Linked DNA regions of Schizosaccharomyces pombe. The gene in region 3 interacts genetically with the main gene of each other region. Each region holds a gene or a part of one and is shown on either strand. Other genes may lie near its edges. The genes, in order: cti6, psy2 and SPOM_SPAC212.06C.

Evidence for each region.
Region 1: mutations in SPOM_SPAC212.06C (region 3) and cti6 together harm fitness more than expected from each alone (negative genetic interaction), as found in Schizosaccharomyces pombe (one large-scale study listed by BioGRID).
Region 2: mutations in SPOM_SPAC212.06C (region 3) and psy2 together harm fitness more than expected from each alone (negative genetic interaction), as found in Schizosaccharomyces pombe (one large-scale study listed by BioGRID).

Annotation. Positions count from the first base shown.
Region 1 is NC_003423.3:512,291-516,599, reverse strand, and holds cti6 (Rpd3L histone deacetylase complex PHD finger subunit Cti6), read right to left. Parts: upstream 2,446-4,309; 5' UTR 2,385-2,445; coding exon 2,047-2,384; intron 1,877-2,046; coding exon 1,673-1,876; intron 1,629-1,672; coding exon 896-1,628; 3' UTR 647-895; downstream 1-646. Other genes in the region: rps29 (40S ribosomal protein uS14), read right to left, coding at 1-45, 97-158; vacuolar amino acid transmembrane transporter Avt5, read left to right, coding at 4,134-4,309. UniProt on the Schizosaccharomyces pombe protein: Could be a component of the RPD3C(L) histone deacetylase complex (HDAC).
Region 2 is NC_003423.3:893,811-899,052, forward strand, and holds psy2 (serine/threonine protein phosphatase PP4 regulatory subunit 3 Psy2), read right to left. Parts: upstream 3,605-5,242; 5' UTR 3,324-3,604; coding exon 2,612-3,323; intron 2,554-2,611; coding exon 755-2,553; 3' UTR 562-754; downstream 1-561. Other genes in the region: squalene monooxygenase Erg1, read left to right, coding at 1-242; dynein-anchoring factor Num1, read left to right, coding at 4,265-5,242.
Region 3 is NC_003424.3:16,368-19,599, forward strand, and holds SPOM_SPAC212.06C (DNA helicase-like protein), read left to right. Parts: upstream 1-1,704; coding exon 1,705-1,939; exon of another isoform or gene 1,940-1,981; coding exon 1,982-2,190; 3' UTR 2,191-2,607; downstream 2,608-3,232.

The DNA.
Region 1 (4,309 bases), on a different chromosome or scaffold from region 3:
AAACCGTACTTGCGGATTAAACCGAGACGACGACCAGTGTGAGCGCTAAATTATGAATTAATACATCACTCGTGTATAAAAAAGATGCTTGCTTACCATTGTCTGCTGCCCTTTCCGTACTTGCGAGGGTGAGAGAACCAAACGTTTTCGTGGGCCATTTTGGTGTGAAGGTAGAGATTGTTTCAAGCGTTTCTTCTACTAGACGAAAGTCGTGACTGCTCTTCTAGGCATAGGGTAGGGCTAATATAGAGAAATACAATGCATTTCGTTATTTGACATTGTGCTCAACAATGTAAATAAAGTATGTATAGTACTATTTTTTAAGTAGAAATTGTTTTCATTAGACACTTAGTTAAAATATTTGTTCAATTGATGGAATAATCAGGATTTATTTTTTTCCTCTCCAGTACCAAGCCTTATATAACATTATATTGTAGCTGGTTTAATAGGCACTTAATGAAAGATGGATTTTCCTTCAGAAAGTAGTTATTGTGGTGTTTTCTACGTTTGATTTTTTTTTTTTTTTTTAGTTTCAAAACCTCTTGTATTTATTAAATTAGTGAGTACTTTTGAACGTTTTTACTCATTCACTTGGAAATCGGTGTACTCGAAAAACATAGCTCATTTCAAAAAATATACAAAAGTTTAACCTGTAAATAATAATAAATTATATTTCTTCAATTAACCAAACAAAAATTATATCCCTCTCATCAAAGGAACTCTAAATCTTTATCAAAATATCTATCATAAATCAACAAAGGAAACCATTAGATCATAAAAAAGTAAAAATATATGTATGTTGACATGTTCAATTGAACACATCTTTCTCCTTTTTTCTTCCTTTGCTTCTTTTTTTTAATATTACTGATGTAAATTCACACAGTACACAGCATCATCAAGTTCGACTGAATCGTTGTTCCCAATGCAATAAATCCCTGGTGAGATTGTCTACCATCCTAAGAGTTTCCTTCTCTTCTTCTGGGCCTTCTTTCGATGACTTTGTGGATGATTGATTACCAGCAGACTGAGCTGCCATTTCAACTTGAATATGTCCAATATACTCTAGCATAGAGGCAACTCTTCGCCGCATCTCAGTCATAGTGATTCTTGAGTGCAATCCCTTAGGCTTGGTTATGGTCTCTACGAACGTTCCATCCGGATGTAATTGAGGAATTCGGTGATTATCGTTCGAACTAGATTTTCCTCTTCTTCCTCCCACCTTTCTTGTTTTTGAAGGCTTCGGTGCGACAGCTGCTGGAAGATCCGCTTTGTCTTCTGCCGCTGCTTCACGTTTAGCTTTTCGCGTTGACCGAGTAGTGGTCGAAATAGAAGTAATGGTAGATTGTTGTGAGCTTTGAGGGGATGCTTCTCCAGACTCCTCTTTTACTGAGTGCTTTTCTTCATCAGCAATCTCCTCAACCGTATCTACAGTTTCTTCTTCAGGGGCATCCGTTTCAGCGACATTAGTAGTAGAGGTTTCTTTATTCTCTTCGTTTTCGTCCTTCGACTCCTTACTATCTTCTAAAATTTCATCATTCTCTTCTTCAATTTTTTGTTTTAAATTTATTTCGGTTCCTTGCGATTCATCTTGGGGAGCTGGTGGAGAAAGAGACTTCGATGAAGTTCGCCTAAAAACAGTTAGTATATCATCTATGAATATCAATGACCATACCCTCTAGATCTCCTCGGTATTAGTGACTTTTCCTTAGCAATTGCAAGATACTCTTCATAATCAAGAGCGGCGTCTCTGGAATTCATAGTAAGACGTTGCTTAGACGACTTTTTGGTTGCCGGAGATGGGGGAGTAGATGAAGATTCTTCTGTTTGACTGGCTTCTATAGGTTTTCCATTTCCAAGATACTTTGATTGTTTAGCCCTGCGGCGAAGTTAGTAACAATAGTTGAAAAACCCAATTTTTTTAATTGCTAGAAGAGAAAAAAGAATAAAATGGAGATATTTGGAAACCACTGCAATTAGTTTAAAGCATTAGGTATTCAGTGGTAAATCCATTTTAAATCCTTAAGCTCATCTGTTATCAACACTTACCCTCTGCCCCTTTGATATACTTTATGGAATTCTGGATGGCATATTTCGCAATAATATACCTCGGGAACTTCTGATTCATCAGCAAATCCCACACAGTTCCCATGTTGCCAAACTGAGCATTGATCGCACTGAATATACAGCCCCCCGTCACTAGCTTCATCGTCGGATTCGACAATTCCACAAACACAGCGGGTTACTTCTCCAGTACTCGATGTTTCATTCTCTTCATTATCGGAAACTGAGCCATTAGGCGTGTGGGGTGTGTCTACGGGAGATTTCTGAATTTTTTCAGACTCTTCCTCTTTTTCTTCATTAGCGGGAGTTGAATTACTCGGCATAATGTATAATAATCGTTTTATTAAAAAATTGTGCTGTGCGCTTGGGGAATGGTGAAGGATTGGAAGATAGGTAATACATTTACCAACTACAACATCAATGAAATATATCGCGAATTGCTGAAACTTCACGCTTTAAGTAATTAATGTATGGGAAATTTGTTTTTTTATATTCATTTAGTGATTGAATGTTTTTGGTCAAAGTCGTAATGGCACTTTGGTAATAGTTAAATAGTTGAATGGCAAAAACGTTGGATTCTAGGATTCAAGCCCAGAGGGAGACTGCCAATGCATTGAAATGATAGTTAATTAAAAAAAATTGATAAAAACCCAATTATCTTTGTAAACATAAACAGTTTAACACCTTTCATTTTTTTATAGGCCCATTTTGCCCGTTGATTTGCCCTTGACCATCGGAGAACCTGGTTTGTCTGGGAATGGTTATTTAAGTCTCCTAAAGCTTTAGCACTGTTGAATTAGATTAAGAAACTTATATGTTCATCTCAAACTTCATATAATTAAACGTATGGTTTGTTTGACCCACTTTTTATGCTATCTCTCTGTACTAATTATTATTGAAATGAGAATTGACTTGATTTGGGAATGCATATTATTATAAGCTGTATTATGAAGGTTGTGAAATCATTTCTGTAAGGTGCTGCTGCTTTTATAAATTAAAAGAGGTTTTGTAATATCGACATGATATTTGGTATTATCTCCATGTATTCGCATTTTACGATGTTCCTGCAATCTTTAGAATGGCGTATGTGCATATTTTGAAACTAAAAAACATCTTACATTTTAAAAAAGGCTTTTTCCTCGCAATGTCAGAAAAGCAACTGCTACTCGGTTCACCGGGAATTCATGAACAAAACAATGAAATTTGATTGTATTTTTCTTCGATACTATATTCAACTGACTAGATACTTATGAAATAAAATAAAAAACTATTTATATCCTTGTGATCAACGTTTGACAGTGAGAAATTGTTATAATTCTAAATTTTCTCTTTTTATTGAAATTTATTCGATGAAAAAATCAATTGTATGCTCTTCCACCACTTCGAATGCTCTATTGATATAAATATATGTCTATGAAAAATTCGTTTTATTTCTACAGAATTTACAAAATTCTCTAATTTACTGCTAATACTGTGTTCAAGTTGGTAAAATATTCGTGTGCCACAAATATCTATTTTGGTATAAATTTCTCATGTCACTCATTAATTGAGATGATAGTGATAAATATTAACAATTTTTTTAGTAATAGTAAGAAAAGAAATAATATTTCATTGCTTTTATATCTGCTGGCAAACCAGAGTAGAGCGATATCGCATCTGTATATCGTAATTTCATCTCTTTTAACAACCAAGAACGAGCATTCCACTCGTACAGCTGGGAAGGTGCTTTAATACATCGTGTACTATAATTTTTCCTATTATTTATCGGGCTTCTGAATAGATTCTACAATTTAATTTATCGAGCTGGTCTCTTTTTGTCTGCTGATTTCTATTCTACGATTTCTCAGGCGTTTTTTATTCCACGTTCTATTATTTGTTTAGAACCATTTTTTTTATATTGCATAGTTCTTATTTTCTTTTAAAATAACTTTCTTGAACGATTCTTCCAAAAAATCGATCAGTTTGCATACTCATACGCTTAGTACTTAATTGTAATTCGTAAAGTTGGTTCCTAAAAACACCAATTTTATAGCTTCCTAGATTTTTTCTCTATTCCTAGTTTGGGTTAATTTATGTCTGGGTATAGTCCTTTGTCTTCTGGACCAGCAGACGTCCATATTGGAAAAGCTGGGTTCTTTTCTTCGGTTATCAACCTTGCCAATACTATTTTGGGAGCTGGAATTCTTTCCTTACCAAATGCGTTTACCAAGACTGGTCTGTTGTTTGGGTGTTTGACCATCGTCTTTAG
Region 2 (5,242 bases), on a different chromosome or scaffold from region 3:
TCGATTACTTCAAGCGTGGAGGTAATTGTGTTGAAGGTCCCATTCGTTTATTAGGCGGTTTAGACCATAGCCCTTCTCATCTTATCGGCCACTTCTATGCCGTCTGTCTCTATGGTATTTACCAATATGTCTTGTCTGGTCCTGCTTTGCTTATGCCCGTCCGTATCATCGAATCCTTATTGATTTTCTTACAAGCTTCGCTAGTAATTATCCCTTATATCCTTAGCGAAATGTCATCCTAAGTTTGCAGAATCAGTTCATTAAAATTAAATTATTTTTGATTTATGAATTGGTTGATTATGATTGTCTTGGCAATCACTGATAGCTATTTGGTTTTTGCCTTGTTTGGTACGTCGTTGTTTTTAAAGAAATAGTTTTAGATAGAGTTGGGTTCAAGTTTGTAATGACTTCACACTCTTTTTGTTTATTATATAAATCCCTCTGTTTTTCAAGAGTTATAAATTGCCGTTTTAATATAAAATACTTTTTTTTAATTTTTAAGCCTACTAAGTACAATTATTCGTCAGCGTTAAGTAAACAATTATCCCGAGACTACAAGACCACGATAGTAACATGAAAATTGGTATTTATTATTTTAAAAGTCCCTTAATGAACAACCCAAATCGTTTATATTATACAGATGAGTTTTCAAAACAATGATAAACCCGGGAACAAAAATACGATGTCCATATGATGATTCACTTGCATTACAATCTTCTAGAGTTTTTGGAGCTTCCCTTTTTATGTTCATCTTCTAGGAAGCGTAGCCATTCTGGGCAGAACTTGAATCGATAGAGAGTCTCTTTTTTGGTGATTCATCATCAGCTTGCTGATCATCAACTTGGAAATCCGATTTCCTTTTAGAATAACGGGTGTTTGAAACATTAATACCTGAAGATTCTGCAGAGGTATCATAAACTGCAGACTCAAGGAAATAACGATCCTCTAATATAGGTTGCTTTGGCTGCTCGCAACTGTCTTCAATATTTAGCTCAGCAGGGGCTATAGAATCAAGAACAGTACGTTGTCCAACTTTTTCTGATAATTCAGTATCGTTTTCAATAGAAAAATCTTGCTGTATTTCCCAATCTTTGGATACGTCGTCTCCAACACGTTGGTTATTATTGGAGGCACCGTCAAATTCATAACTATTTGATTCATGAGTCCCAACAGTTTTAGGGCTTCTTGAGTCAGAGCTTAAGCCATCTATTATATTTAAAAGCTCAGAAAAAGTACTGAGATTATTTAAAGATTCCAGCTGTGGTCGATAGTTTTTATTGAGATAATCCAGTGTATCTTCAGATCCCTCGGATCTTAAAAATTCAAAAAACTCTAAAGCAGCTGAGTTGACTAAATTAGTTTGGTCTTTGACCTTTAACATCAAGTCCAGAACTTTTCCGTATGTGTCAGTTTCTAACATGATCAAGGACATTTCTGACTGACGAGCGGCCAAACAAGAGCGAATAAATCTAAGGGCGCTCAAAACAACATATTTTCTATCGCTGTATAGTAATAGAGCCACTTTTGATGTAAGGGTTTTATATGTATCAAAACGACGAGACCAATAATCGTGTATACGAAAAAAATAACAAAAAAGCTCACACAAATGCATATACATATCAAGCTTTTTAACATCTAAACTCGATACATTTTCCAGCTCCAATAAAGGAGCAGCAAGCATATTAAAAGAGTTATCATAAAAATTTTCAATAAAATTAATTCCAATAATGTTATCGGTTTTATTTCGAACATTTCCATCAGCATTTCTGTAAGGATTATTGTATGCATAGCTACCAGGTAAACTTAGTAGCATTTTAAAAGCTTCAGAAATTTGAGCAAGTACTCCAGGATTTGATTCTTTATGCAAAATGTTAATTAAATTGGAAAGCAACGAATGTTGGGAAACGTGAGCATTGCTCAATGAAGAAGAAGCGTCCTTGCGATCTTGATCAAACTTTTGCCAAACGATGGCAGGTTCATGATCAATAATAGACACCAAAATATCGGAACCAGCATTTCGAACGGAATTGTTCTCATGTGACATTGCATAATCCAAAGCTTTCAGAAGATTAAATTTAACGAAAGTAGCAAATAATGCAGAGCAGGACTGGAATTGTAGCCCTTTAGCGATGTTGCAAACCTGCTGAATAAAGAATATACCGTCTTGCTTGCGTTGATCATCCTCGCCTTCATTCACATAAATGCTAAACAGTTCATGTAAAAATTTTTCATTTGTTTGAAGGTATTGAATAATATCAGCCTGGTTAAAGAAGATAAATGAATTTAGCACCGAAAAGGAGGGTTCGTCAACAATCCTTGAAACGACAACATCCCTTAGATACTGAAGCTTAAATGTCTGGTGAATTTTTGCAAGAATCCGTGGATCCTGAATGGGAACCACCTGCTTAAACTTTTTGGAATCCATTAAATATTCCCGATGGTTCGCTTTGATATTGGGGAATTCCGGATCGTATTCGAGAATACCAGCTACACACATTAGCTTTTCATCATTAGAGAACAACGATTCGAGTAAAGGGGCGTCGTTCAATTGCACTGACAGCGATTAGCAAGGATTTAACGAATCTAAAAAGTATAAAGTAGATTAACATACCAAAGCTTTTTATTATGGAACACAATCGATGAAGGTCATCTGTATTCTCTAGATCCTCACACAGAGGAAAAAGTTCAATAAGTCTATCAATATAATTTTCATTTGAAACATAACGAACCAAACTATCTCTTGATTGAATAGACTGCATATATCCATATACTGCTTCTTCAATTTCTTTTAAATTAGCAAGCTCTGGGGCTGGAAGATCGACCGTGTTTAGGTAGTTTTCATTAAGCGCCCCCTCATCCGTCAATATATCATCGTTGGAGTAACTTCTAGTTACCGATGATATTGCCTTTTGAACATTTGCTAAAAACATCCACATGTCTATACAACCGCTAGATTCTTGAAAGCTTAAAGCAAGATCAGTACCATTCAATTCTTGCCAGACTATGAGAGTTTCTTCTTGACGGCTGTATATATCTTCCGCAATCAATTGTGTTTTCAAAAGGATGGTTTCATTATCAGCTTCTGAACGCACAATGAAATAAGCCAACGGTCCCTCTATTTTTCCATCGCAATAACCGGTGCCACAGTCTACCCAGTTTTCATCTTCCATTTCGTACACTTTTACACGTCTGGGAATCGATGGCACTTCGATCTTCTGCAATGCAGCTGCAATTGCTTCGTCTAATTCCTCTTCTTCATTTTCTCCATCTGAAATTTCATCAATATTATTATTTAAATCTTCCTCTTCCTTCGTAGAATCCATTTCTACGGCGGATTAAGGGTAGACGTCAGCTTCGAATTTACGACGTTGGCGTTCGTCACCAAATTTTCAAAAGTGAAGACGAAATTCAAACGTGGTGGTGAATGAATGCAATACCGTAGATTGCACCAAGATTGTAATTATTAATAAATGTATTTCTCATTAAATGGCAATGCCGCTTTACTTAATTATTTGGTTTGCCTAAAATATAACAAATAGATTTGTTAAGCAGTGTACTATGTATATTTCACGTGCATAATTTTGAAGTGTTATGGCAGAATTATGTTCTTTATAGAGTCAAATAACTATTATATACGTGATCGTGGTGCTTTCAGTCACTATTTTTCATTGTAATTCGGTATCTGTTTACAACAATATCATTAACGGACGTTATGCATTTTAACGATGAGTACTTCACCGCTCGGTGTATATGCTGTAATCAATCCTTATATCGAGTTGTGTTTTAAACGTTTTATACTGTCTACAATTAGCATTTAAATCTTTTCGAAATAGTAAATAAACTAAATATGAATATAAATAAAGTTAATTATTGTCTAAACACATGTGTAGCCTCGTCAAATCAATTTTTTGCAAGTCAATCATGAGGCTCAGGGTACATTTGTAAAGTAATAGTTAATTTTTAAGTACAAACTAATGGTATTTATACCGATATATATATTGAAAGCTGCTAAAGCTTCGCTAGATATTCAAGTACTCTAGCAAATGCATCAATATAAATACAGTTTTTTTGCTTTTACTAAGTTTTATTGTTAAAGCGTAATACGAGAAATTTGCCAAATGAGAACACGAATTGAATTGATATAATTCCAGAAATAAAAATTATGTATTCAAGACGATGACTGTTGCGATATGCATGCTTACGAGTTTATCGATATATAAAAGACAAAGAGAGTTGAGCTTACCAAAACATATACTGATCCTTCATGGAGAAAAAACAAGATAACGAGGTGGAATTATATTCAATTGATTTAAAAAATAGAAATGAAAGTGCAAAAATAAAGCTTGCTTATGCGAAAGCGTTAGAGGAAAGCATTCTTTGTGAAACACGAAAAATCGAACAAGAAATTAAAGACCAAGTGGTTCAAAAGGAAAATAAAACATATTTTAATAACAAATTTGATAATCGATATAAATTACGCGACTTGGAAAAAAATTTAGCGGAGGAGGAGGTGAGAATTACGGAGATGCTTACTATTCAACGTCAAGACATTGCAATTGAAAGAAGGAAGAACACAAATTGCTTCAGTGAGTCTTCTCAAGTAGATCAATATTCAGTTACTGAAACCAATCTACAATATGCTACTAACATTGGCTTAAACCTTCTGCAACAGTTGCGGTATTTAAGGCTGCAACTGTCAGAGAAAGAAGATTTGCATAAAAAGTTGTCAGTGGATAATGCCCATTTAATCAAGCAACTTGATCTACTTTCTTCAAACATGAAAACACTTATGAAAGAGAAGACTAAGGTGCAAGGACAAAGGGATTTGCTTGAACAAAGACTACAAGGATTAATGAAAAAATTGACAGAAGTAGAGTCTTTGACCGTTTCACTTAACGATGAGAAGAACAAACTGACATTGGAATTAACAAATTTAAGAATTTGCCTTCACGAGCTTCAACTGAATGCCGAAAAAGGCGAAACTATAGATGAAAGTGAAGATTCTAAAAATACTTTGGTAACTGAGGATGAAAACGACGATTCTGTATTTTTGGAGTCTTCCTCGGATAAGTATTTTGATAGTTCATCTTTTGATGCGGAGCAAGAAGAGAAACACGATTTTCCAATAGATCCTTTTTTGTCGTTGGAATCCAATGTACAAACTTCGGTATCTCAATCATCGGCCGTTCTCAAATCCATCAATTTAGCAAAACAGGAGTTAGTGAGTGTAAATCATTTGGTA
Region 3 (3,232 bases):
ATGTAATTAATTATTTTAGCTTTAAAATAAGCAAAAGCTTTGTTTTTGGTAAAATGGCTTTTTTTGGCTGTGTGGTGGATGTATTGCGGAATTTGAAGGTAAAGTAGACAAAATAGAGTTTTTTTAATCACAAACGGAGTCATTTGAACTGCATCAAAATTATCCGCGAAGTGGACTGTCGAGTACTCGTTGTTTCTGAATGAAGTCCAAATGTGGAGTTGGCACATTCAGACTCTATTCAGAGCCCATCTACTATCTATCTATCTATATTGGCATTCCCATATAATGTAATGAGCTGTTACATGTTATTTTTAATATACCGTTGATAAAATGATTTTAGAATAGAAATGAAGAAAGTAAAATTAAATAAGATTGAATTAAGATAAATAAATTATAACAAGAAAAAAAATTAAAAAAAATATAATTCTCATAAATGAATACTAGAATAGCTTTCAAATTATGTTCTAAGTTCAATAAAATGATAATAAGCATAAGTGTGTATAAACTTGATGAACATCAAGTACATCGACTATTTCACTTGTTTAAAATAAAATTTATCATTTTTAAGTCTGTTGTATTTTTTTTCTTCTCTTTATGAAGCAATTTGAGGGACTAGTACATTGTTTAAGTATAACAGCAAAGTAGGAAGGAGGAGACACAAAAATATAGTGTGAAACGTATTCTACTGTGTAGTGCGTTAATAAGAATTATCAACCCTACCCTACACTTTACCCACACATTTGTCGTACACAAAAGTATTCAGGACGGACGGATAATACAACAAAAAAAACTATAGGAGTAATGGAAGAATAGTATGCATGAGTGAAGTCTGATGAACGAGTACTTTTGATGACACTCTAATGACAATGATGTGTTTCTCAAATCACATTGGTCTAAATCTCCTATTAAAAAGTATGAGACAAAGGCATATATCTTCAATGAGTTATTGTTTTTTCTAGTGTACATATATCTGCTGGACAACCAGCCAGAGTGCAAGAGATGGTGTATTGGACTTTGCGGAATGGCAAATTTAAAACTCGCGAATTGTATTTGATGTTTGGAAGACTGATGATTTACAGCAGATACGATAAAACTCGTAATATGAAGTTTGCTGAAAAGCCAATCCCCAGGTTTCTTTCTGAGCTGCTTTCCATTTTAGCACTTCGGTACTATGTTTTGGTTCGACCATTAGAAGCATTGATGAAGTATGTGACAACCGCTGATAGGTCGAAAGTAGCTGCATGCACACTTGGATTTCATGTTTGTGATTGTTGGCGAACGATTGCAAAGAGATTTACCGTATCGAATTTTTTCAAAGGCCATCTACCAATGCATTCAGAAACCGTTGGGATTTCAAAACTACAGACACATTGCTCACTACTTTAAAGAAAAAGAACATCGAGAAAGACATGACGAGAGAATCTTATTTCGATTTACAGGCTGAACATACACGAAACACAGCGCTCTACATCTATGGACGCACTATGGACAACTTGCATTATCTGCCATCGGATTATTTCGTCAACTTTTTTCGTGCAAGCTATAAGTGGCAGGAACTATTGCAGATTCGAGACAACCCGACCCATGGATTGTTGGTAGAAACAAAGCACCCATTCATCAAGCGAGTTGATCAATTGGAGAACGCAAATGGAAAGACACGAATCATGATCGCTTAGCAAGGGATTTGGACTCGGTATCAACTATATGGGAGTGCGTTTAGTAGTACACTATAGATTACCAGCTTCATCTATGGATTATGTACAGGAGACAGGTCGAGCTGGAAGAGATGGCAAGTATGCGATTGCAGCATTGTTTTACGAGAAATATGATTCTACATGGTCGAGCTACGTGGAGGATTCGATGAAAAACTTTCTTAATGATAATACGATGTGTGTTCGATCGTTTCTCGCAAGTGAAATGGATGGCGAATGTGTATGTTGTGCATCGTTTGCTAACTGTGTTTACTGCTCAAGATGCTCAGATTCGTTACTTGGTGAAGAATCAACTGTGTCTACGATGTATGGAGTGAAACCGACATTGCCAGAAACACCGAAACCAGCCATTGCAACACATTCGCGTTATAATGCATCGTTTTCGTCTTCCCCCCCACCACAGCCAGGGAGTAGCAGTGGTATGAGTGCTATGAACACTAACACTACTAGTACTACGCCAGTGTCTGGTAAAACTTAACTACACATTACGCTGAGAGGTAAAATACTCTGACAACATTCGTTCGATTGTATAAAACAAAATCCAGCCGAAACGATTGTTGTCAGTAATCAAGATTACGATCTAAATTGAGTACCAAGACAAAACGAAATGGTTAAAAAGTTAAAGTCGTTTTTGTATGGACACAATTTCTATAAAATAGACATGAGTAAAATCTCGCTATTTGTTTGTTATTGTGGAATAATGAAGAGTCATGGGAGATGAATGTTGTAAACGATGGCATAGAATTGGTAACGAAAAGTGAAATCGTTGGGATCAACTATTTCAGTATTTTGTTTAAAGAAAATGTTGAACTCGACAAGTAATGAGAGGTGGTGCTTTCGTTAAATAATGAGTGGTGGTTACGGTTATACAGGATATGATATGTGTATGGTGAGAATGTGATGTATGTATTTGAGTATAGACAATCAGAAAATCTGTAAATAATCAAGTCGCAAGAAAAAATGAAAATAGATATACAAAGTAAAGAGATGAATGAAATGACAAGGTATCGTAATGAAAATTGAAATTGTTGAAGACGAATAGATGAGTAAATGAGTAAGTGAGTAGAGTAGATGAGTAGATGAGTAGATGAGTAAATAAGTAAATGAGTAAATAAGTAAATAAGTAAATGAGTAAAGAGAGTAATCGTTTGAATAGGACGACGATGCTCACTATTGATGATGGGTTGGTTACAGTTACATGGTTGCATTGGATATGTGTAAGGTGATAATGACGATGATTAATAAGAAATGGAATAAAGTGTCGCTATTGAATGAAAATGAAAATGAAATGAAAATAATGAGTCAGTCATATTACAAGTAAGACGGTAGATAATAAAGAATAGTTATGTAAGTTGGTATTGTGAAAGATGATGATAGAAAATAATAATTGATGAACAGATGAGATAAATAAGATGAAGATTTCGTTTGAATGAAAAGTAACGGTTCTATAACATATGAAATGAGGTGAATGGTAGTAAGATAGATAGAATAGAGTAAGATAGATAGAATAGAGTAAGATC